3 linked regions of the Rhinolophus ferrumequinum genome follow. The protein of the gene in region 3 interacts with the protein of the main gene of each other region in a pairwise test. Links are inferred from orthologs where the notes say so. Each region holds a gene or a part of one and is shown on either strand. Other genes may lie near its edges.

Region 1 (7,379 bases), on a different chromosome or scaffold from region 3:
TGTCATTAGACTAAGATACTGCCTTCCCTCAATCTGGACCCTACTTTGTTTCTATAAACGGAACATTACATCCTAGAACCATTTTTTGTCAAGTTAGGTCTTTCTCATGTCAAACAAGGACAACAACGTTTTTGTAAATTTAATCATTCTTGGTAAATTTGTATCTTATCTGGGCCTCCTATTTCAGTCTGTAAGAACTCGTTGAATCCTGAGTGTCATCTAACATGCTGGCTATCTTTGAGAAGCATGCCTCTTACATATTTAAAGTTGGTAATAAAAAAAAAAATGCTGACCAGAGTAAGAGCAAGACTAGAGCCCTGGAGCCTATCTCTAAAGACCTCTCTTCATTCAGGCTGACATCAAGTCATTAATCAACATTTTGGGTTTGGTAGTCTGAATGGATATAAATCCATCCAATTAGACCTCATCCAGTGTACGTGTATCTGTGTCTGCTGGGATAGGAAGAGAGATTATGTTCAATGCCCGAAGGAAACCTGACTGAACTCAGCGCCCACCCACTATCAACCTAGTACATTTATAACAAAAGGAAACATGGTTTGTGTCACCCAGCTTTTTTTGGACTGGAGCTCTGCTGGTTTGAGGGAATCAGCTCTCCTTTCCCAAATACGCACAAATGCTCTTTTTGCTCCCCCAACAAGATTCTAAAATGGATTAATAACAGGTTCTAGCATCCAGCAGTCATCTAATTGCTCTGCAAAAACTGAGACATTGACCAGACTCCAGTCTTCTATCATTCACTATGCTTTTAGGATTCCTCTAAAGCTATAAACAATGATTTTACAATCTTATCTGCAAGTTCTCTGGCATATAATTTATCTGAGCCTAAATATACAAATGAGATTTAATCCAATTAAATGTTCTTAACAATCTCCACAATTACCCTGAACTTAAGTCTTCTTCATTTGTTTGTCCTTACCCAGTTTTGGAGAAAACAAACAAAACATTTTTTTACCTTCTAGATACTCAGTGAACTCACTGCTTTCCAACATAACCTGCAGAAATGAACTACAGTCCCACGCTACTTAAGGATGGGAATATGCTTTGAGAAATATGTCGTTAGATGATTTCGTTGTTGTGCGAACATCACAGAGTGCACTTATACAGTCCGAGGTTGTATAGCCTACTGCACACCTAGGCTATATGGTATAGACTACTGTACCTGTGCTACAAGCCTGTACAGCAAGCTACGGTACAAAATGAGATGAAATCAAGCACAAGAGAAAAGATGCAATCAAGATATGGGATGCAATGGAGAAAATGATGGAACCAAGAGACGCAGTAAACATGATGTATGGCGTAACAAGCATACTGTTTTACAGCAAACTTTTTTTAGCAGTGTACACTCTAAAATAGCAATAAAAAGTACAGTTTAGTAAGCACATAAACCAGTAACAGTCATTTATTATCAAGTATCATGTACTATACTGTACAGAATTGTATTTGCTATACTTTCATACAACGGGCAGCACAGGTTTACACCAGCATCACCACAAGGCCATAATGCCTTGTGCTACCACATTACGATAGCTACGATGTCACTAGTGATAAGAATTTTTCAGTTCCACTATATATGGGACCACTTGTACACTAGGTCCATCCTTGACCGAAACGTCGTTATGTGGGTCAAATGGTAGCATGACTGTAGCTCATTTCGTAGGCCAAAAATATGATCAATTTTTTTCTTTATGATGTTCAATTTTTACAAATGGCATTTACAGTTTAAGGATCTCCTTAGCAATTAGAATGTTTCTTTATTCCTTGTTGGTGCAAACTATGTTTTCAAAATGAAACAAATATTAAACATGCTTTATGCGTGAATCAAGCAATGTTTGAAAAAAATGAATACATTCACAATGAGACAAAAAACACCCCCTAAAATTAGACACCTCTGATAGTCACATTGGAAAATAAACAAAACACAATCCTGGAAAATTATTACATTTATAGTCAAGATTATTTAACAAGAAAGCATCTGAAGAACAAAATCGATCAGTCTACCAATACCACTACTATAATCACCCATTCTTCATTCAGCTCTAGGTGCTGGGGATACAAAAGGCACTTCACGGAGCTTTCATTCTAGCAATACCATTCACATAAACCTTTAATGAGTGCCTACAACTGCAAGGCACTGTGCTAAGTATCTCTAAGGAGCCTTAGAGCTTACCTTAAAAACATAAAAGGCCACCCGCAAGCTAACTGCTCTCAGAAGTTTCTAACGTCAGACGATTTCGCGAAAGCTCCATTTAACTGGCAATCCAAATTTAGGAAGCGTTACCGACCATGCTTTGTGCTGGTAATAGCTGAAGAGCCTTCAGAGAACTTCGATACTAACGCCTCAACTTTCTGAAGAACAATTCCTTTAGTAACAAAGCGAACCAACCCAGAAGAGGGCCGGTAAGAACGATGTCTCGGTAAAAACGAATCTAATCGCGGAAGTGCCTTTTCCTCATTCCTAGTCCCACCCTTGTTACATGGCTCTTCAGACGCCAAAGCCGGAGTACGCCAGATGTGGAACAATACCCAAAGTCTCAGGTCTAACCAAGGTTGGGACCGAGACACTGCAAAGTAGTTGGGAAGATGTGGGTAGGCAGCGGTTGTGCGGCAGAATGTGCGCGCGCGTTAAGACCCCTGCCCCTTCTCACCACCTGCTACAAAGTCCCCGAACTCTAGCCGTCCCTCTCTGAGAGAGCCGCTACCTGTTCCTAGGGTACGCGCCGGACTCCTTCCTCCGCTCTTGCGCCTCAAACCCTCTCCCGAAGCCCGTCCCGCAGTCCCGCCATCGCCCGCTAACTTCGATCTACACCGGGGGTAGCCGAGGGAGGCGGAATCCAGGAAGAGAGACTCCGCCAGCGGATGGAGACAGTTGGCCAAGCCCTACTCCGACCTCCAGGTACGCGGCGGGGGCGGTGGGCGGCGCTACCAGTGGTCCGTGGGTCACTCACCCTCGCCTCAGGCAAGCCCCTTAGCTACGTCTCTCCTTGCCGACTGCGGCCATCTTGGACGTGGGATGTCGGGGAACTACGTCATCGCGCTGCGTCGGCGACGGAAAACACGCGACGGGAGTCGCCTGTGAACCAATCAGAAGAAAGTAGAGCTCTCAAAGGAGGAAAGAACAGCCAGTCTCCTTTCAGCCCCTCCCCTCAGGAGGAGGAGCCTGACAGAGGACCCCTCCCATAGTTCCCGCCTCCGGGGCAAAGGAAATTCGGGAGCAACCGAACCTGCTAACGGAACTTGGACGCGAGAGGTGGGGCCCGGGGCTGCCCACTCTCCAATCAGCGCCCGGGCGTGGCGTAGCCCCACCAATTGTAGCCCCTGAGCTGGCGGGGGCCGAGCCGGCCGCTCGGGCCCAGGAGCCCTCTGGCCCAATGGCCGGGGAGGAGCCCGAGCTCAACGGTAGGGGGGCGGTGGGGCGGGGCCGTGCCCATGCCTATGAGCCGGAGGCCAATGGGCGGCGGCGGCGGCGGCGGCCCGGGGGCGGGGCCCGGGGGCGGGCGGAGCCGGGTTGGGCCGCGGCGGCGGGCCGTCTCAGGCCGCGGTCCCGCCCCTCCCGTCCGGCCGCAGCCGCCGCCGCTGCTGCCTGGGGCTTGGTTGAAGCAGACGGTGGGTCTGGCCCGGAGTGTGGTGCCGCTGCGGCTGCGCGAAGGGACCAGCGGGCAGGTGAGTGCTGGCGGTGGCCCCTCCGCGCGCGCGGCCCGCGGGCCAGATTCGCGCCGTCGTTCCCGAGCGCTGAGAGGCTGCCCCCAGCCCTGGCCGGCATCCCTCGGCCGAGGTCCGGCCCGCGCTCCGCTGGCCGCTGCGGGCCTGGGGTGTGCTAGGCGGTGGCGCCCTGGGGCCCGGAGGGGAGGGCGGGGTATGGGCGACCCGGTGGGGTCGGAGGGTGCCGCTTGGCCTTTGCCCTCCGGCCCTGCCGGGACGGGGGCGCACTCGCCGCTGCCCCGCGTGTTCTTCTGGAGCCCAACGCTCCGGTCCCCGCTCCGCCCGCCGCCCAAGGTGGTGGCAGGTGCAGGGAGCGCCGGGCCCCTCGTCGTCCACCGGGTGGGGCCCGGGCCCCTTTCCCTGGCGCTCGTAGGCTCGGCTCAGCGTGCGGCCGGCTCGCGCTCTCGCTTCCTTCCTTCTTCCCGTCGTCACCCCGCTGCTTGGGTGAAGGCTGTGTGTGGCTTTATGTTCCTCTCTCCAAATCTCAGGTGCCCGCCGGGGTGCCCCGGGGTGCCCGAGGACTAGCCCCTGCTTCTCTCACTTTCCAGTTATGAAAACAGTCGTTGAAAATAGGTCATCTTTCTTCCCACGCGCCCTGGCCATCTTCCACACGCTTCGTGCCCTACTAGGGAGAAGAATTCAGTGCTTTGGAGTTTGTCATTCCGGCATTAAACTCTTTCTCCTCGTGGCTCCAGCCTGGCGACGCAGCTCTGCCTCTCCGACTGCCACTTGGGGAAAAGGAGAGGATTACTGTCGGGCGCCACTTGCTGCGGGGGGCCTCACGCCCGCGGTGTGTTGACACATTTAGGATCACTTGAAGGGTATTTTGCTTTTCCAAATGAAGACGGTGATGTTTCAAAAGCAAAAATAAATTTATAAAGTATATGGACAGTTTAATTTTGCTTTTACTAGGAGCCTTGGAAGAGTTAACCTTTTGACAATGGACCTGACAGTAGTTTGGTTATGGTGGTGGTTACCCAGCTATACACCTGTGTCAAAACTTAGACCTGGACCCTGAAAAGTGTGAATTTTGTCGTATGTAAATGATACTTCTCCCTACCCCATTTTTATTCTTAAAAAAATGACCCCATTGGTATTTCAAAACTGACCTAACCATCAACCTCTAAGAGGTTTTCCTTACTATTTTAAGGGAATGCATTTACCTCAAGAATATAGCAAAATAATCACACTTTCCTCACCACGGTTAAAACTTGGCAAGACTTGCTTGAACCATGGTGTATTGTGTCTATAGAGGCTACGGTGCCTGCAAGTCCTGCCTTACCAAATGAGTCCCAGGGGCTGCTGTGATTGATATTTTGGTAAAGTTCCAGCAATTTAAGGAGTTTTTCTCTGGCCCAAGAAAGTAGTTTGTAACGCCAAATTCTCAAACAGCTGCAGAACAACCTCTTTATTGGGACCCCGAATAATCTTGGCTTTAGCCTTCTGCTACCCCTTCCTGTCTGCTCTCCTTTCTCTCTGTGTATTCAACTTTGTGAGTTAATATCTGAAATGAAACTCCAGTCTCAACCAGTAAAACGGTTGCTGCTTCTCACCTCCAGCATGCTAACATCTCTCAGTGCTTTTTTTCCTGGAATACGAATGATGTTGGAGTTGATAATTAAAACTTTTATGCCCGCATGTGCGGTAGGAATGAAAGTTTCTGTTCAATTCTGTCAATAGGGGTGCAGTAAGATTGTCAATAAGAAAGGAACACTTACTGAGCTTCTCTTCCTTGTGGTGAACATTTAAGCCATGTTTTAAATGATAATTAAACCTTTGCTTTAGAGGCCACTGGAAAATGAGAAAACTAGAGGCCTTTCTGCAGATTTTTTCCATTCTGAAGTTCAACTGTCTTTATTTTGAGAGCTCTGATAACAGGTCACAATGGACTCCTTAAAACTTGATGCTCTCATATTAGAAGAGAAGGACAAAGGAGATGGCAGCCGGAGGAAAGAATCAACATTAGTACAACAGAGGCTTGCTTGTAGTAAATATTTAGTAGGTAATTATTGAATTCAATGAAAACCGGGTACCTAGTTTGTGCTGTGTGGAATTTTGGTGACAGTACGAGTAAAAATCTTACCTCCTAGCTCAGGGTTACTCTACATTGTTTTTAATTCGATGTCAGTTTAGTTTGAGGCTTTCCAAGTCTCTTAAAACGTTTCAATTACATACTCTCCTTTTTTCTTATCACTAATCTGAAGTAGCTTTTAGAAATGTAACTAATAATAGTGTGTCTTTTTTTGTGTGGTTTGATGACTATCTTTCACTGGGAGGGTTTTTATCTTTAGAAACTGGTTTGTCTGCCCCTGGCTACTGTGCATCGTGCTTCTGTTGGGGCGTGGGGAGGAAGAGTTTCAAGTGTGTTTCCTCTCCTTGGACCTAAATCCTGGGAATGGGGCCTCCCCTTTCCCCTGCGGAGGAGCAGTCATTTATTACTATGGCATTAAACATTTTTAACAGAAGAGTGAATATATCTTTATTATGTTATTTTGGAAGTTGCTTGTGGCCGGTTATTTTTTCAATTAGCTAGCATTCTAATTGAGGCCAATGTTTTGATGTCCTGTGTGCAACCTTTTTCTCTTGCTGTAGTCATAGCAGTGTTCATCTTGGCTATCTGTTCGTCCTGAGTCACATTTAGCCAGTTAAGAGGACTAAGGAGTCCTTGCTTTTAAATTTTTCTAGTTTTCACTTCTGTTGCGTTTACAGGTGTACCTTACTTGGCAAAATTGACTTCTGTACATTGGATTTCCTTTTATCATCTCACTTTCCGATTCATAAAGTTGGAGATGTCAATCAAGTGTTTTTATCTGCAGATATAATTAATTTACATAATGTAAATTTACATAAAGTAAAAATAACTTTCTAACACTATTAATATGCACACTATATTTTTCTATTATAAAGGAGTTGAGACTTGGTTTTTGGTTTTTTTTCAAGTCACTTAGTTGTCTTAAAAAGCTTAATTAGTACAACTGGAAAGTTAGAAGTCTTGCTTTCTCTTGTTTAATTCACCTAGTAACTCAAGCCAGAGATTAGCTGTGTAGACTCCATTTCTAGGTGGTGAGTTTTCTCCAGGTTTTGGAAATAAACAGATGGTAAGACAAGAGGTACAAACACAGGCAATTTTCAACTGAAATTGACAATTTTCAATTGAAATAAGTTTGGAAGAAAAATGACTCCAAATGATTATAAAATTCATATCCTAAAGTTAAAACTTTGAAATTCTTTCTTAAGTACTTTCCAAGTTGAAGTTAATTGATAATCAAGATAAGTCTAACCACTCTTGGCTGACAATACAAGAGAAGACCGACTCTGGAGTTCAGATTTTGAAAGGGATCTGAGTGGTACTGTTTACCAAGCAAAGTGGGATTGTCATGTTTCGCATGCCCAGGCTCAGTCATGGGGGACAGAGGGACTGAGCAGGAAGAAATTCTGTCAGCGTTTTTCAGAAAGATGAAAGAATTGTCTAGAGTATGTAGATAATGAGGTGTCTACATAGAACGTTTAATAAATATGCACTATTTTAGGCTTATTACCTATCTACGAGCCTGCATTTCACTTTCCATCTTTTTAGGATACAATTCATTAGAACATAAAAGGTCTCAAAAAATTCTGTGACTTAAGTGGTTTTAAGGTTTCAAGCTCAGTGAGGCATG
Region 2 (7,489 bases), on a different chromosome or scaffold from region 3:
GCAGCCCATGAATTTGGCCATGCGCTCGGGCTACAGCACACCACGGCTGCAAAGGCCCTTATGTCTCCTTTCTACACCTTCCGCTACCCGCCAAGCCTCAGCCCAGATGACCGAAGGGGCATTCAGCACCTATATGGCCGGCCCCGGCCGGCCCCCTCTTCTAAGCCCCCAGCCCTGGACCCCCAGGCTGGAGTGGACACCAACGAGATTGCACCACTGGAGGTGAGGCACAGGAGGGTGGGAAGACAGGAGGTGAGGCCCTGCCCCAGCTACCCCCACCTGACTGGCCTCTGTGGCTCCAATGTGGGCTCTTTCCCGGCCCTCTCCCCCACCTCCCCTGCCCCAGCCGGAAGCCCCACCAGATGCCTGCGAGATCTCCTTTGATGCGGTCTCCACCATCCGTGGGGAGCTCTTCTTCTTCAAGGCGGGCTTTGTGTGGCGGCTACGCGGGGGCCGGCTGCAGCCTGGCTACCCTGCGCTGGCCTCTCGCCACTGGCAGGGACTCCCCAGCCCCGTTGATGCAGCCTTCGAGGATGCCCAGGGCCACATCTGGTTCTTCAAGGGTGAGTGGGGGCAGGGGGTCATGCTCAGATTTCCAGGAGCCTGGAATGTCATGGCCAGGGGTAGGGACAGACAGACAAATATAGGCAGGTAGAGGGTGCCCTGAAAGCTTGGGGCCACGGGAGAACAAGGCTCATTCCTCTGGGCACAGCTGGGAGACTTCTGAAGGCAATGGCTCTCAAGGTGGGAGTAGAATAGAAAGTACTGCACAGTGGGTCACACATTGGCCTCCAGCTCAGGTGGTGAAGTGACTCACCTGAGGGTATAACTTGAAAAAGGCAGAGCAGGGATTTGATCTAGGTCTGGCGACTGTAAAGCCTGTGCTGTTAACTTACAACTGCATTAGGGAGCATTCCAGGTGGCAGGGACTTCATAAACAAGGGTCCACCTAAGACCTGTGGCAGGGACCAGGGCTGAGCCCCAGGGGGTGGTGAGCAGTCAAATGCCCGGGGAAGGAGTGGGAGCCCAGGTGCCTCTCTGCTGCTGAGAATTACCTTTCTACGTGGTACCTTCCAGAGCCTGTACTGCCCCAGCTTATCCCTGTTGGCTCCAACTTCCCCTGGGGTGGGGGCGCCAAGCAGGATAAGGAAACTGAGGCTGGGAAAGTCCTGGTGGTGGTGGCAGCTGGGCAGGGCCATTGCAGCCTCCCCTCTCCACAGGCGCTCAGTACTGGGTGTACGATGGTGAGAAGCCAGTCCTGGGGCCCGCCTCCCTCTCTGAGCTGGGCCTGCCAGGGTCCCCGGTCCACGCAGCCTTGGTCTGGGGCCCTGAGAAGAACAAGATCTACTTCTTCCGAGGCGGAGACTACTGGCGCTTCCACCCCAGCACCCGCCGTGTGGACAGCCCCGTGCCCCGCCGGGCAACCGATTGGCGAGGGGTACCCCCTGAGATTGACGCCGCCTTCCAGGATGCTGACGGTGCGTTGGTGATAGGGCAGCTGGTGGAAGGGGTGTAGCAGGTGCGTCTTCCTCCCTGTGGTGGCTGGATGTCAGCTCTTCGTCACAGGGCCTTTGTCCAGCCCCCTCCCCATCCAGCCTCCTCCTTGTACCAGCGCTCGGTTATACCTTCCATGTTGTAGATGAGGAGCTTGAGGCCCAGACAGGAGCAAGGACTTGCCCAGGCCCCAGCCATGGCTGGTAAAATAATAACCACTGCACACACGACTGACAATGCTCCCGGCACCTAAGCTCCCTACCTGTCTCATGCAATTCTCTGACGTAGCACCTGTTAGGAACCCAGTTTGCAGAAGAGCAAACAGATTCAGGTGATGAGGTCCCTAGCCAGGGCCACCCAAGTGGATAGTGGGTAACCAGGAACCCCCACCCAGGCAGTCCCTGCTGAGCTGTCCAGCCTCCTATAATCTCCAAGGACTAGACTGGGGACTCATAGTCCATTGCCCTCACCTGTGCCCCCTTCCCCCTTTGCTTCTGTGCTTTCCCACACTGGGACCTGCTGGGAAAGCTGTCCTGTGGTGGTCTCAGGCTCTGGGGCTCCAGGTTGCCTCTATCACCCTCCATAACTCAAGATACCCATCGGTATCTGGCTGGTGGGTGTGGGAATAAAGTGAGGTAGAGGGAGGGGTGAAGAGGGAAACAGGACTTGCCTTCCTGAGATGTTGGAATTGGACGTCTGAGGCTCTCAGCAGCTGTCAGGCTGGGTCGTAGCCTAGTCCAGACTCTGGGCAGGACTCCCCCAAGGGAATGGAGCTTCTGGAAGGGCCGTCCTAAGGCCTGCAGGTTTCAAGGAACTCAGTGGTGGCCAAGCCTGCCCACCCGGACCTCCCCGTGCCCATCCCTAGGCATAGCCTGGTGAGCAGGTGAGAGGCCCGGTGTCCACTCACCCAGGCCTGACCCTCTTCTCTCCTCAGGTTACGCCTACTTCCTGCGTGGCCTCCTCTACTGGAAGTTTGACCCAGTGAAGGTGAAGGCCCTGGAGGGCTTTCCCCGCCTCGTGGGCCCCGACTTCTTTGGCTGTACAGAGCCTGCCAACACTTTCCACTAACCACTGCTTGGATGCCCTCAGGGCCCCTCACCCCTGCCAGGCCACTGACGTTGCCTAGAGACCCATGGCCATCTTTGTGGCTGTGAGCACCAGGCATAGGACAGAGCCTGTGGCTCCTCAGGGGGGTGGGGAGGGGTGGCTCCCACCATGACAAGTGCAGGAAGGGCCACGCAGGTCGTGGTCACCTGCCAGCAACTGTCTCAGACTGAGCAGGGAGGCTTTGGCATCAAGGGTGAGGGTGGTCTTGGACCGGTTCCACCCTACCTGTGCAGGTCACGGTCAAACCCGGCTGCCTTCGCTCTCCATCTTCGTCCCTCAGGAAAGGACCTCAGCAGGGCTGAGGGAGCTGGAGCCCTTGCTCTGTCCCTGATATGAGGTCCCTGCAGGGTGCTGGCACATGGATCCCGGGGCCACGTAGCCTTCTGCCCTTCCCTGAGAAGTCATTTCTGGGTAGGTGCTTGGAACTGGCTGCCTTCAGTTGGTGATCCTGGAGATCTGTTCCCCAAGATCCAGGCCAGAAGGTCTAGAGTCATCTGGGGACAGGGGTGCTCACTGCTGGAGACCCAGGGCCCTGGAGGCCCCAACATACCTCAATCCTGTCATGGGCCGAATCCTCTCCAGCCTTCATCCCAGCACTGAGACCCTCCAAAGCCATGTAAATGTGTGTACAGTGTGTACAAAGCATTTTCTTTCTTTTTTTTTTTTACGGAGAACTGTCATTAAACAGTCATTTTCTACCTGCCTGCCTGGGGTGTCTCTGTGATTGTGAGTCTAGGATGGGAGCTGTACCAGGGAAGTGGGAGACCCGGCTTGGGACCTGTTCTGTCCTCGGAACCAGGGTGGCAGTCCACCCCACCCCCAAGTCTCTGGTCTTTGGCGCTGGGTACTCTGTGTAGGGCCCCTCCTGCCCCATTCCTCCATCTCGTCTGTCTAGATGCGTGTAGTGCCTTCGTACTTGGTTCCCTGCTTCCCCGGCTTGCCCCTCAGATCATCCTCCCCTAAGCAGTGGTCACTTTATCTGATCTTCCAGGCCCAGCCCCTATCCCGTTGTCGTCAGGATACAGAACAAAACTCATGTTTACAACAGCTGACGCTTCCTAACAAGTGTCTCCTTGCCTGCCACCCAGCCCGGTGTATCTCCTTTACAGCTGCAATTTTTATTCGAAATTTATATGAAATCGGCAGCTGTGGGCCGGTTTTGACCTACTGCATTGTTCAACGGGAAACGTGGATGCTTTGATGCTTTCATTAATGTCATTCCCCACTCCCACAGGGCAGGGCTCTCTAGTTGCACTGCAGGGCTCGGCTTGTTGTCCGTACAAAGTGCAGAGTTAAGGACGGAATGGAGAAGGTTCCCTCCCTTCCAACACTCATCTGACGCACCAGCCAAACCAAATACCACCCAGATTGGAATCCTGCCAAGCCGTGTAGTCTTGGCCCATGCTAACACCGCCCTGTGTTGTCGTTCTGCCCATTCCTACAGCTGCAGGAACAGCTGCGGGCCGAGAATTGGGATATCTAGGAGTCCTCTTATCTGCTCAACTGCACCGTTTTTTCAGGGTGGGGAAACTGAGGCACACCTACTACTGGCCTCCTCACACCCTGCAGAGCTCACTTTGTTCCTCTTCCATTGCGTTGAGTTCCAGTCCTAGCTGTAGGACTGGGAACGCCAACGCCTGAGTCAGGGCCTCGATTGCTATTTCCACCTGAGAAGTCTTCCTTGGTACCGAGACTTGGGAGGAAGCCTGGGAGGAAGAGAAACGGATTTAGGCTCCTTTAAGGGACCCACGGGAGCGCGCCTTGGCCTTTTGTTTGGGTGGCGGTAGCGCGCGCGTCGGCGTCAACGCCCGCGCATGCGCACAGAGGGAGGCCTGGTCGTCGTCGCTGCGGCTGCTGAGGAGCCCGGCGGCGGCCGCGGCGGCGCGAGTACTTGGCCCGGACCGCCCTTTGCTTCCCGACTTCGGCTCCCTCGACTTGGCACGCCCCAGCGCCGCCTCAGCCCTCCCGATCCCTCGCAGCCCGGCTTTGGCTGCCTGCCTCCACCGCCGCAATGATGATGATGGCGCTGAGCAAGACCTTCGGGCAGAAGCCCGTCAAGTTCCAGCTAGAGGACGACGGCGAGTTCTACATGATCGGCTCTGAGGTAGCCCGCGGCGCGTCCTCGCCCTCCCGGGCCCCGGCCCCGCGGGAGCCTCAGGGCAGGTCTGCGCGTCGGGAACGCGCGTCTCCATTCATCGCGGCGAGGGGGTGCGCGCGCACGCGCGACGGGATGTGGCTTAGCAGGGCGTGGCCGGCAGGCCCCGCCCCGCGCTCCTCTGCGATTCTGGGTTTACTTAGCCATTTTGTGGTGGTGGGAACGTACCCTGTCGCCAGAACTAGGGCTCCCCGAGGGGCTGCTGGTTTCGTGCTGAGTTGGTACAACTCCAGACAGACGCAGACAAACTGGGTGTTACGGTTAGCCCCTGCGAAACACCCCGTTGGGGGTGATAATGTTGGAAATATCACGTGCGCCCCTCCCCCATTGCTACATCTGGGATCCTGAAATCGCCGGTTGTAAACATGGGGCTTAGTGAGGGCTCATCCTCATTGTGTTCGTTGCCTTTGAGGTGGGCAGGAGGTGTTTTGATCTTTGTTTACCAGGGAGGAAATAGGTTGGGAGGAGAATATTTGCTTTTGGGTGGATAAGGCCATCCTATTTCATTTGGGTGGATAAGGCCCCAGGTCCTGAGCTAGCTCTCAACAATTCAGAAGCAATTGACACTGTGGATATCTTGGACTAACTGAATTATTACAGGAGAAAGAGCCTAAAGATTTTTAATCCTGAACTAGAACTGATAGCACTTTGTTGAATCAGCTGGACCACTGACAGGAGGAAAACTTTTCAATGGTAGTTTGTACTAAGTATATTAAGTTTTTGCAGATTGCCTCAAACTAGCCCCTTTGGGTCTAAAGGCCATCCCCAGGTAGTGTATACTCCTTTTTTTTTTTTTTAATTATGGATATATAACTCAGATGTGCATATACCAAGCAGTAGAGTCTCTCATGTAATGAGGTAAGTGCTAATCTTGGAGAGCTAAATAAGTCCCAAAATGCCAAGCGCTGCCTTTCCCTGTAGTACTTTAAAGTATCAGACACCAACATTTCATTCCTGATTTTACAATTTTTGTTGTTTTTCTTCACAGCTGATCATAGCGTGAATGAATTACGCCTCATGATGGTCACACTGAGGCAATCACCCTGTGATTCCTGGCCAGTTATATCAAATTATGAGGCCAACATTGTCAGCATCAGAACTTGAGTGTTACCATTTTTCACCAATTTTTATTAAACAAAAAGGGCAGGATGCAATAATTTTTTCACATTATCCCGTAAATGCTGCTCTTCAAAGATAGCCATGCTGGGGAAGTGGAGTCAGTGCGTGTCTATCTGCCGTGGCTCAGAATGGTCCTCATCAGCCTAAGTGCAGGATATAGAAGACAGCTGAGTTTTAGTACGTGATAATGGGCAGATCGTTTAAATAAATCTTTACCTGGTCTAATGGGCAAGAAAAGCAATCAATTTGGTTTCGATTCTGAGTATGTGGTACCTCTGAAAAGCAAGCTTTCATTTATTAGGTGGAGCAAATTGAGAAGAAGCATGCAGCCAGGTGGGAAGAAGTCAGGAGGCCTGGTTCCAGCTCTGTTCTGCCTCCTTGTCACTTTTCTCATGTGTATAATGAGATGCTTAGACTAGATGACCTCTGAGATTTTCTCTGTAACACATTTTAGCTTCTAGAAAGTTATCTGCAGTCTTCTCTTTCAGCCCTGTTGAGTGAGACCATTGTCCTGCGACCGAGCCAGTAGAGACCTAGATGGGAGAAGGGAGAGGAGGTTTGCTTTCTGGAGCTTGGCTTAACAATTGTCAGACTTTTGGAGGTCTGGGAAAGGTTCAAGATCAGAATGCTGTCTATTGATGTCCAGTCGTTCCTGTGATAGCATTGGGTGCACGGCCCCCAGGCCCCTTCCCTTTGGGCAACAGGCCACTCAGAGAGGTGGGCCAGCCATAGCATCACACCCAGTGCCGTGGAGTGGCTTTGGGAAGACATCCGCAGTTGCAGTAAGTGTGTGTGACTGTTCTCCCGCCATCTGCAGGTAGCTGCATTCACCAAGCCAGAGTCATAGACCTGAGAGGACCTAGGGTATCCCCAAGTCCAACCTTCATTTCAGGCAAAAACTGGTTCAGGGAAAACCCAGGAAGGCAAACCCTGGTCTCCTCTATTCTGAAGGGGCCTTGGGAAGGCTCTAGGAGTCCCGGAGCTCCCCAGGACCTTCAAGGTAGTAGTGGGGGACACTATTGTTAATGTCTTTTCAAAACCTAATGGAAACTATACGTTTACCCTTGGATGGTAATGACACTCAAGCCAAATAACCGACAGGGGTCTGTGCCTTCTGTGTGGAGCACGATTGACTGGCTATGGTCACCTCTCACGCTGTTCAGCAGCTCTGGTTGTCGATCATGGAAATCTTTGATTCATGAAAAATGGAGAAATATTTTTATTAAATAAGTATACTATGTTGCGTAGGTAAATGGGACAATAATAGAAGTGGTCCTTTGTGTGGTCAACTTCAAAGTTGCTGTGCATTTGACAGATGAGTAAGGAGAGCCAGACTGGGGAAGTGATTCCTGGTCACAGGTGGAGACATCACCTGGCACCCAGTCAACTGGCTGTCTCCTGCCCTGTGATTCACATGGTCATTTTGGAAAAGTCAGTGAGACAATGAGGTTTCTTTATAAAAAACTTTAGGACGAGATTTTTTTTCTTTCCATTAAGGAAGTCATACTTTGAGTATTTGGTTCAAGCAAACTGAAGCTATTGTTTGGAGAAGTAATGATTTATATAGCAATCTGGTGATTGCTGATAAGTGCTTTTTAAACTCTCCGGAAAATT
Region 3 (7,947 bases):
CGGGCATTTCTCCAAGTCCACTCTGAGGGGTCAGGTAGAGAGAGCTGACAGCACAGACTCAAGAGATACCGACTGGGTTCAAAGTTCAGCCCTGCTACTTTGATGCTGTGTGGTTCTGAGCAAACCCTTCTACCCCTCTTGGCCTTGGTCTCCGTGCCTGTTAAGTACCAACCTCCTATACCAACCTCCCGGGGTCAGGTGATGAGGATGAAATGAATTAAGACCAGAAATCCTCTCTGAATACCGCCTGGCGTATAGTAAGCACCCAATAAATTCTTGTTGCTCTCTTGGTCACCCCAGGAACCTGGTGTTTCACTCTGCTAGACTGACCATAACTGTACACCCCAGTTCACAGATGAGTCACAGCTGGGGTTGACGTGACCCCTTGAGTTTTTTTCTCTAATTTTTAAAAAATGTGCATTTGTTGCCACCATTAGAAAGAACAGACAAGGAATTTCATCCCAAACTCTGGCTTTCTGGCCTTTTTTGAGGGTCTGGCAGATCCTGTGTGCCAACATGGTAGGACTCTTCGTTGTAGAGTAGGAAGCCCAGGCCCAGTGGATGGAGACCCCAAAGCTCGGGGGGGGGAGGGGGCTGGCCTACCCGAGGACACACAGCACTGTAACAACACTCTCACCAATGATCAGGGATTGGCAGCCCCAGTGCTCACTGTGAAGTGGGCATGGACCAGGCATGGAGGGGAGGACCCACTGCAGGGGCTCAGAAAGGCCAGCTCTGCCAGGCAAAGCCCCTAACCCTCCACATCACAGGACCAGAACAAAGTTCCTGGGCCTGCCCTTCCACCATCAGCGTCTCTGTCTCATCTTTGAAATGGGCACAATAATAAGACAGCAAGGAAGATTAAACCAAAAGATGTTCAGTATTTAACACTTGGGGAGCATGGGAAGTACCCCAAGAGGTTGGATGGTAAAAAAAAAAAAGAAAAGAAAGAATATACATCCGTACTCCCCTTTTCTTCTTGAAGAAAATCCAAGATCTTTTTACGTGGGTAAACTGAGGTTCAGAGACAGCCCAAGACCTCCCTGAAATTGGTGGGCAGGGACCCCTACTGATCCCCTCCATAGCAGGGCCTTTGAGAATTTGCATTCTTCAACTCAGAAACTGGGTGCAAATCTCAGGTCTGCTGCCACTTCCTTGCTGTGCATCCCCTAGGAATCCCTAAGCTCTCTGGGCTTAGTTTCTCCAAGGATAAGACGTAGGTAATAACAGTTTGTTCCCCTTAGATCAGGGCACATGGCAAGCCCTTTGGAAATGTTAAATTCTGGAACAACCATGCTTGAGATAGTTGGACCAGGAACCCTTTCCCCAGAACTGGGCAGAGAGGGCTAACAGGCTGCAGAACTTTGTCTTTGGGGCAATTTTTTTCGATTATTTTTAATTTTGGTAGGTATGGGGATCTATCCCCCAAATCCAGTTGTTGGGAGGTTTTTAATCATGTGGGGCTTGGGGTGGGGGTGGGAAGCGGCCCTCTGAAGCCATACAGCTGAGCCTTTAGGCATATCATTTAATTTTTTGCCTCCTTTTTCTCCTGTGAAATTGGCTGTTTGGAAGACTAAACGATTTTAATACCGATAAAGTGCTCAGGACAGTGCCTGCCATACAATTTGCACTACGAAAATACATATATTTTTTCAAGTACTCATATACAAAGCAGGGGCCGCCACCTCCACCCTTCTAGCCAACTGCGCAGGGGGCTCCACCTTCTCCCGGGGTACAGACCCCTGACCCCAGCTCACCTGTGGTACTGAGCCTGCAGCAGCTGAAACTCGTCTTTGATGCGGTCGCAGGAGTCCGAGGTGGTGAATTTCAGTTGCTGGGGTAGGTGCGAAGAGCCCTGCGAGGAGGGGGCGTCCCGGGTCAGGGCTGGGCCGCCGGGTCGGCCGTTCACTTCCCTCTTGGGCGCCGGGAGGCAGCGGCCAGGGCAGCGGCAGCGCCCCCCCGACACTGCCCCATTTCCCGGGCCCCTGTTTACAGCCCCTGGCGCGGCCCCCGCCCTCGCTTCCTGCCCCCGCCTCTCCCGGGGAAGTGGAGGGGGTGGGTGCGCCTGGAGCCGCTCCGTCCCCCGCCACCCCCAGGCTGTGGGGGTGCGTTTCAAGGCCCGCCCTTGGTGGGGGGCAGGGTGCGCCCTCTACCGCCGCTCCAATGCTCCGGTGGGGGTGCACATCGGAGCGCCCCAAGTGCCTCGGGGAGGGGACAACGTGTCCTAGGGAGTCCCCGTCCCCAAGTGGGGGGTAGCGAGGTCTCTCTGCAAAGTCCTTTAAGAGAGGGCCCTCTCAGCGCCCGAAATTTTCCGTGGGGGCTCCATCCCAGATTCCCAGTACCCTCCCAACAGGCCGCTCTCTTCCGGGAGAGATGCACCTCGGATCAACCCCCACTCCCAGGCCCCGAAAGCAGCCCCGGCGTTAGAGGTGCCTGGTGGGGCTCCCGGGGAGCCCCAGGCCCGAGGCCAAGGCTGCCCAGGCCCAGCCTGGCTTGGTGGGGGGCGGGCCGCAGGGCCCAGGGACTGGGGGAGTCGGGCCGGGAGCTGGAGAGGACCCCGCCTGAAGCTTGGGGGAGTCCGGGCCGGGAGCTGGAGGGGGACAAGGAGCTACAGTGGGAGGGAAGACCAGCGCTGGGCCCAGAGCTGGAGGGGACCGGGCCCTGGAGTTGGGGGGAGGTGCCGAGCAAGGAGGGACCTGGGGGGGGGGACGCATGGCAGGGCTCGGATCTGGGGGGAGGATGGCCCGGCGGGGAACTGGGGGGCGCAGGGCTCGGACCCGGAGTGGGGGTGCCAGGTGCGGATCTGGGGGGCCGCAGGGCCGAAAGCGGATGGGGGGAAATGGCCCGGCCAGGAGCTGGGGCACGCGCAGGGCCCAGACCTGGGGGGGGGGGACGCCGGGCCGCGGTCCCCGCTTACCGAATGCCTGCTTTGTGGAAACATCATGTCAGTCGCCGCGGGGGGCGCGGGCTGCGCCCCGGCTGTGCGCCCCGGCTCGGGCGGCTCGGGGCGCCGGGCGGTCGCGCCTTTGTCCCGGCGCCGATCGGCAGCTCCCGGGGCTGCTGCCGCCGCCTCCCGCGCCCGGCCTCACCCGCTTCCTGCGCCCCCTCCCTGCGCGCCCGGCCCCGGCGCGCCCCGGGCCCCGCTTCCTGCGCGCCCGGCGCCCCTCCCCGCCCCTCCCGCCGCCCGCCTCCCCGCACGCCCGGCCGCCGCTCCTATTGTCTAATGGCGGCAACGCCGGCAGTGGCTGCGGCCTCGGCTGCGCGGAAGCTCCGGCTCCACCTGCTGCTGCTGCCGCTGCCGCTGCAGCCTGGGCCCCGTGCGCGCCGCCGAGGGGGGGGCGCGCGCCCGGGGAGGCCTGCGGATCCCCACCCAGCCCGCCTCCCGCGGGCCGCCGGCGCGGTGACCTTGGGCCCGGCGCGCCCCCGCCCGGGGCTTCAGCCCCCGCCTGGCGCGCCGGGACGCCGCCCCTCCGGGCTGGGTGGCCCTAGCGGCCGCCTGGGCCTCGGTTTCCCTATCTGTCAAAGAAAGGGGCCTGGCGGCCCCCATCTAAACCGCCGGCACTGTCATGGCGCGACCTGGACGCGTGCCAGGGACATGCTCTGTAACCTTGGCTCTCTGGCTGTGCTCTCTGAGCCTTGGTTTCCTCTTCTGCAGAACAGCGGGGGTCATACAGCTGGCCTCCTGGGAGCCATTCCTCCAAAACACATTATTGAGCGCCTACTGTGTGCCAGGCCCTGCTCCAGGATGTGGGTGTGGGTTGGGGATGTACAAAGTATCCACCCTGGTGGAGACGACTTGAGACAGGCGAGAGACAAATACTCAAGCCCAAACTCTGGCAGGTCAGAGGGTAGTAGCAGCTATGGAGAAAATAGACCAGGGGGAGGACCAGGAAGGTGCCATTTTAAACAGAGATGGTGTCAGAGAGGGCCTCCTTGCCTGCAAAGAGGACCTGAAGGTGACAGAGGGAGCCAACAGAGGTATGGGGTATGGTGGCTTATTCAAGGAGGCAGGAACAGCAAATGCAAAGGCCTGGAGGCAGCCCCATTTTTTCCTCGGAGGAGCCTGGGAGGAAATGAGGGCAGGGAGGCAGGGCCAGCAGCTTCCAGCATTCAAACGGGCCCTGCTCCCAGAAGAGCCTGTGCTTGGGTTCCTGATCTACAGTTGTGGTCTGGAAATTCCTAATTATTTTTGATCAAGGGGGCCTCAAAGTTTCGGTTTGCATTGGGACTGCAAATTCTGTAGATGGTGCAGGGCCTTGTGGGCCACAGGGAGGACTTGAGATTTTACCCAGCCGTGGTGGGAGCCACAGAGGGCTGTAGGCAGGGGAGGGGCTGGACCGGACTCAGATTTTGATAGATTCTCTCTCGCTGCCATGTGGAGTTCAGGCCTCAAGGAAGCTGTTGAAATCATGCACATTAACCCCTGGCAAGTGTTACATACACAGCCTCTTAATTCTCATGTCATCAACACCAGCTCTGCAGCCCTCTCCAGATGAATAACTGTTTGGAGCCTTAGGTTTTCCCATCTATAAAATGGGAAGTTAGGACCCTGGTCACTTTTCCCGGGCAGATGAGGGGCCAGGACGAGGGTGAGATGAAGAAACAAAATTTAAAGACCCCCCTCACCCTAAAAACAAAACAAAATTAAAAATATCCTTCAAGATAAATAATACTTTAAAGCACTATTTTTATAAATAAAAACTGATGCCAAAAAAATTCACGGTGATGGAAGGAGACTAGACTTCAAGTGGTGAGCACACATAGAGTGTCCAGATAGCGGATTATAATGTTGTACACCTGAAATTTATATAATGTTATTAACCAATGTTACTCCAATAAATTTAATAAAAAGTAAAAATGCATAATGAGCAAAATGTCAGCCTTTTAAATAAAGACAGGATCCAATGAGCTGGAGATGAGTTAACCAAAATGCAGGGCCTTTCTAGTCCTGACGCTGTAAGAGAAAAGGAGCAAAGTTTGGAAAGCTCTTCAATATTCCTGTAGAGTTGTGGAATGCGCAGGCCCCACAAATCACACGAGAGTCCCCAATTGGGACAGGCTACAGAATTTTCAGGGCTTAGGGCAAAATGAAAATGCATTGCCTCTTGTTCAAAAATGATTAGGAATTTCAATATGGTGGCAACAGAGCGTTAAACCAAGCTCAGGGTCCTTCCTTGGAGAGCATGGGGTCCGCTATGAGTGCATGAGTCACCTGCCCATGAAGTTGGCCCTGCCCCCAACATCCCCCCACACACACACCACGGGGACCAGACACCCATTCTCCTGGGAGGCCACCTGCGTCTGACTCTCACCTGGGCAGGCACTCGGTGACCAAAAACTCCTGTGTTAACAGACCCCAGAGCTGGACACACATACCCCCAGCACAGTGGGGTCAGGACTAGGCCACAGTGGGGGACTCAGGGCTTTGCCTTTGAAGGAGAGTAATCGGGAAAAAGTAATTTTCAGGAAAATTACTGAAATTTTGGCATGTGGCAAAGCCCAGAAGTGTGACCCAACCTATGAATAAAGTAAATTAACCCACCTGTATATGTGTTTACTATGTGCCAGGCCCTACCTTAAGCATTTTAACCCTAGGTACTGCCATTATGACATTTAAAGATGGAGAAATCAAGGCACTGGGAAGTTTAGTGACTTGCCCAAAATCACACAGCTGGTAGGTGGCAGAGCTAGGATGTGAACCCAGGTACTTGGGCGCTTGACCAGTATGCGTTACTGCCCCTCCGGATGGGGCTTGAGGTGGGTATGGGGGATACTGGCTGGAGAGGGCTTGGGGGCCAGCATGCTACAGGGCCTGCTTTCTGGATGAGGAGATAGGATTTTACCTGGAGGGCACTGGGGAGCCAGGGGAGGTTTTAGAGGAGGATTTCTGTCTTCACTCTTTACATGCTGGCTTGCATCGTTCTCTGGAGTGGGACCGTCCTGGGCACAGTGGGGTGTTGAATAGCATCCCTGGCCTTACCCACTCCATGCCAGGAGCACCTCCCACCCAGTCCTGAGAAGCAGAATTGCTGAGTGTCCCAGGCGGTGGGGGTGGGCAAAACTCCCCCCAGTTGAGAAGCCCTGGTTTAGAGCAACAGAGAGAGACTGCCAGGGCCGGGGATAGAAGGTGTTGCTGGTAGTAGCAATGGGGGAAGGCAAGGCGGGAGGCCCGTAGATCAGGGGGATGCCCAAGCTGAGCTCCAGGAGACGGGCAGGCTAGGCTGGGCCACTGCGCGGGAGCTTTTGGGGATGGCTGGGTGGAAAGAACAGAACGTGGCAGGAAGGGAAAGGCAGGGCGGAGCACTGCAGCTCCGGAGGGAACAGTCTGCATTATGTCATTAATTTGGGGGGAATTGGGGCTTTCCAAGATCTTACTCTCTGGGTAGCTGCCATTCCACACCCCTCAGCCCCCACTCATCCCCAACTCCTTGGGTCCACATCCTGGTCTTGCCTTTCCCTGGGGTTCTCAGGGCCACATCTGAGGCCAAATTGAGGCGGGGATCTGTCTCATGTCAGCAACCGGCTGAGACCAGCCTCGCAGCCAGCTTACAAATGAGCACTGGGCCCCGTGGCCTCCCGGCAGAGCCAGTCGCTGGCTGGCGCGTGATGGATGGGGCTGCGTGGCCATTAATCACAGGCAGGGGAGGAAACAGGTGGCCGCAGTGTGGGCACGGGGACTCCCTCTGATAGGCCTGTCGGAGCCAGGACCTCAGCTGTCCAGCTCTTGGGTCAGCCCCTGGTCTGTTATAATCTGTCTGGGTGAGCTGGGGCCGTGTGATTTTACCACTCTGGGTCCCCCCCCACACTCCCAAATGGAGCTATTATCCATTCATTCCCTCAGTAAATATTTATTGCACCTACTGTGTGCCAAGCATGATTCTGAGTGGAGACTGACAGCCGTGACTAGGGAGGACCAATATCCCTCCATTTGCTGAGCTGACAAGCTTTTAAAACCTGACTCAGATCCTGCCCCTCTTCTGCCCACAGCCCTCCAGGGCTCCCACCTCCCTGGGATAAAAGCCCAAGTCCTCCCCGCGAGGCCCTCCCTGACTTAGCCCCGTCTTCTACCTACCCTTACCTCGGCCCTCTCTCCCCCTCGCTCACTCTGCTTCAGCCACGCTGGCTTCCGCACTTTTCCTCCAACAGGCCATGCCTTATCCTGCCCCAGGGCCCTTGCACAAGCTGTGCTCTTTGTCTTGCAATGTCTTTCTCTAGATATCACCTTACTTCCTCCAGCTCAGATGTCACCTTCTCAGAAAGGCGGCCATGGACCTACCTAAAATAGCCCACACCCTTGTCAGTCACCCTTCTCTATTTTTCTTTATAATAATATCTGTCTTTGTATTTCCATTTATGTGCTTATTATCCCCGCTGGTGTCAGCTCCACAAGGCAGGGATTTACTCTTTTTCATTCCCTGCACAGCGTTTGTCACACAGTAGGTACTCAATGAGTCTTGGTTGATATAAAAATCATCTTTGTCAGGATTAGGCTGCCCAGGAAAAGCAGGATGTGGCTGAGTCACTTCGGGCTGCTGTAACCAAACACCACAGACCAGGTGGATTCTAAACAATAAACATTTATTTCCCACAGCTCTGGAGGCTGGGAAGTCCAAGATCAAGGTGTCAGCTGATTCGGTTTCTAGTGAGACCTCTCTTCCTGGCTTGTAGACGGCTGCCTTCTCGCTGTCCTCTGTGGTCTTTCCACAGTGAGTGCCCGTGGAGAGATTTCTCTCTCTCTTCTTATAAGGACAGCAGTGCCATCAGATCAGGGCCCCACCCCTATGACCTCACGTAACCTTTACCTCCTAAGGTCCCGTATCCAGATACAATCACATTGAGGGTTAGGTCTTCAACACAGAGATTGGTGGGGACACAGTTCAGTCCCTAGCACAGCTCTACTGCTATCTGCTCTTTCAGCCGGATGCAGTTTCCTGGGAAATGACTGAC

What was found. The genes of interacting proteins can lie anywhere in the genome.
Region 1: the proteins of TLE5 (region 3) and CCNK interact in binary tests that used the Homo sapiens proteins (3 or more experiments, as listed by UniProt). The two-hybrid records come from large-scale screens. The link is inferred for Rhinolophus ferrumequinum from reciprocal best matches to the Homo sapiens genes TLE5 and CCNK.
Region 2: the proteins of TLE5 (region 3) and SMARCB1 interact in binary tests that used the Homo sapiens proteins (3 or more experiments, as listed by UniProt). The link is inferred for Rhinolophus ferrumequinum from reciprocal best matches to the Homo sapiens genes TLE5 and SMARCB1.

What each region holds. Positions count from the first base shown.
Region 1 is NC_046289.1:4,748,166-4,755,544, forward strand, and holds the start of CCNK (cyclin-K), read right to left. Parts: upstream 3,082-7,379; 5' UTR 2,967-3,081; intron 2,950-2,966; exon of another isoform or gene 2,721-2,949; intron 1-2,720. UniProt on the Homo sapiens protein: Regulatory subunit of cyclin-dependent kinases that mediates activation of target kinases.
Region 2 is NC_046308.1:22,690,391-22,697,879, reverse strand, and holds the start of SMARCB1 (SWI/SNF-related matrix-associated actin-dependent regulator of chromatin subfamily B member 1), read left to right. Parts: upstream 1-4,408; 5' UTR 4,409-4,612; coding exon 4,613-4,705; intron 4,706-7,489. Other genes in the region: MMP11 (stromelysin-3), read left to right, coding at 1-222, 347-563, 1,221-1,478, 2,429-2,562.
Region 3 is NC_046301.1:60,175,314-60,183,260, reverse strand, and holds the start of TLE5 (TLE family member 5), read right to left. Parts: upstream 3,075-7,947; 5' UTR 2,945-3,074; coding exon 2,918-2,944; intron 1,856-2,917; coding exon 1,758-1,855; intron 1-1,757. UniProt on the Homo sapiens protein: Transcriptional corepressor. Acts as a dominant repressor towards other family members. Inhibits NF-kappa-B-regulated gene expression. May be required for the initiation and maintenance of the differentiated state.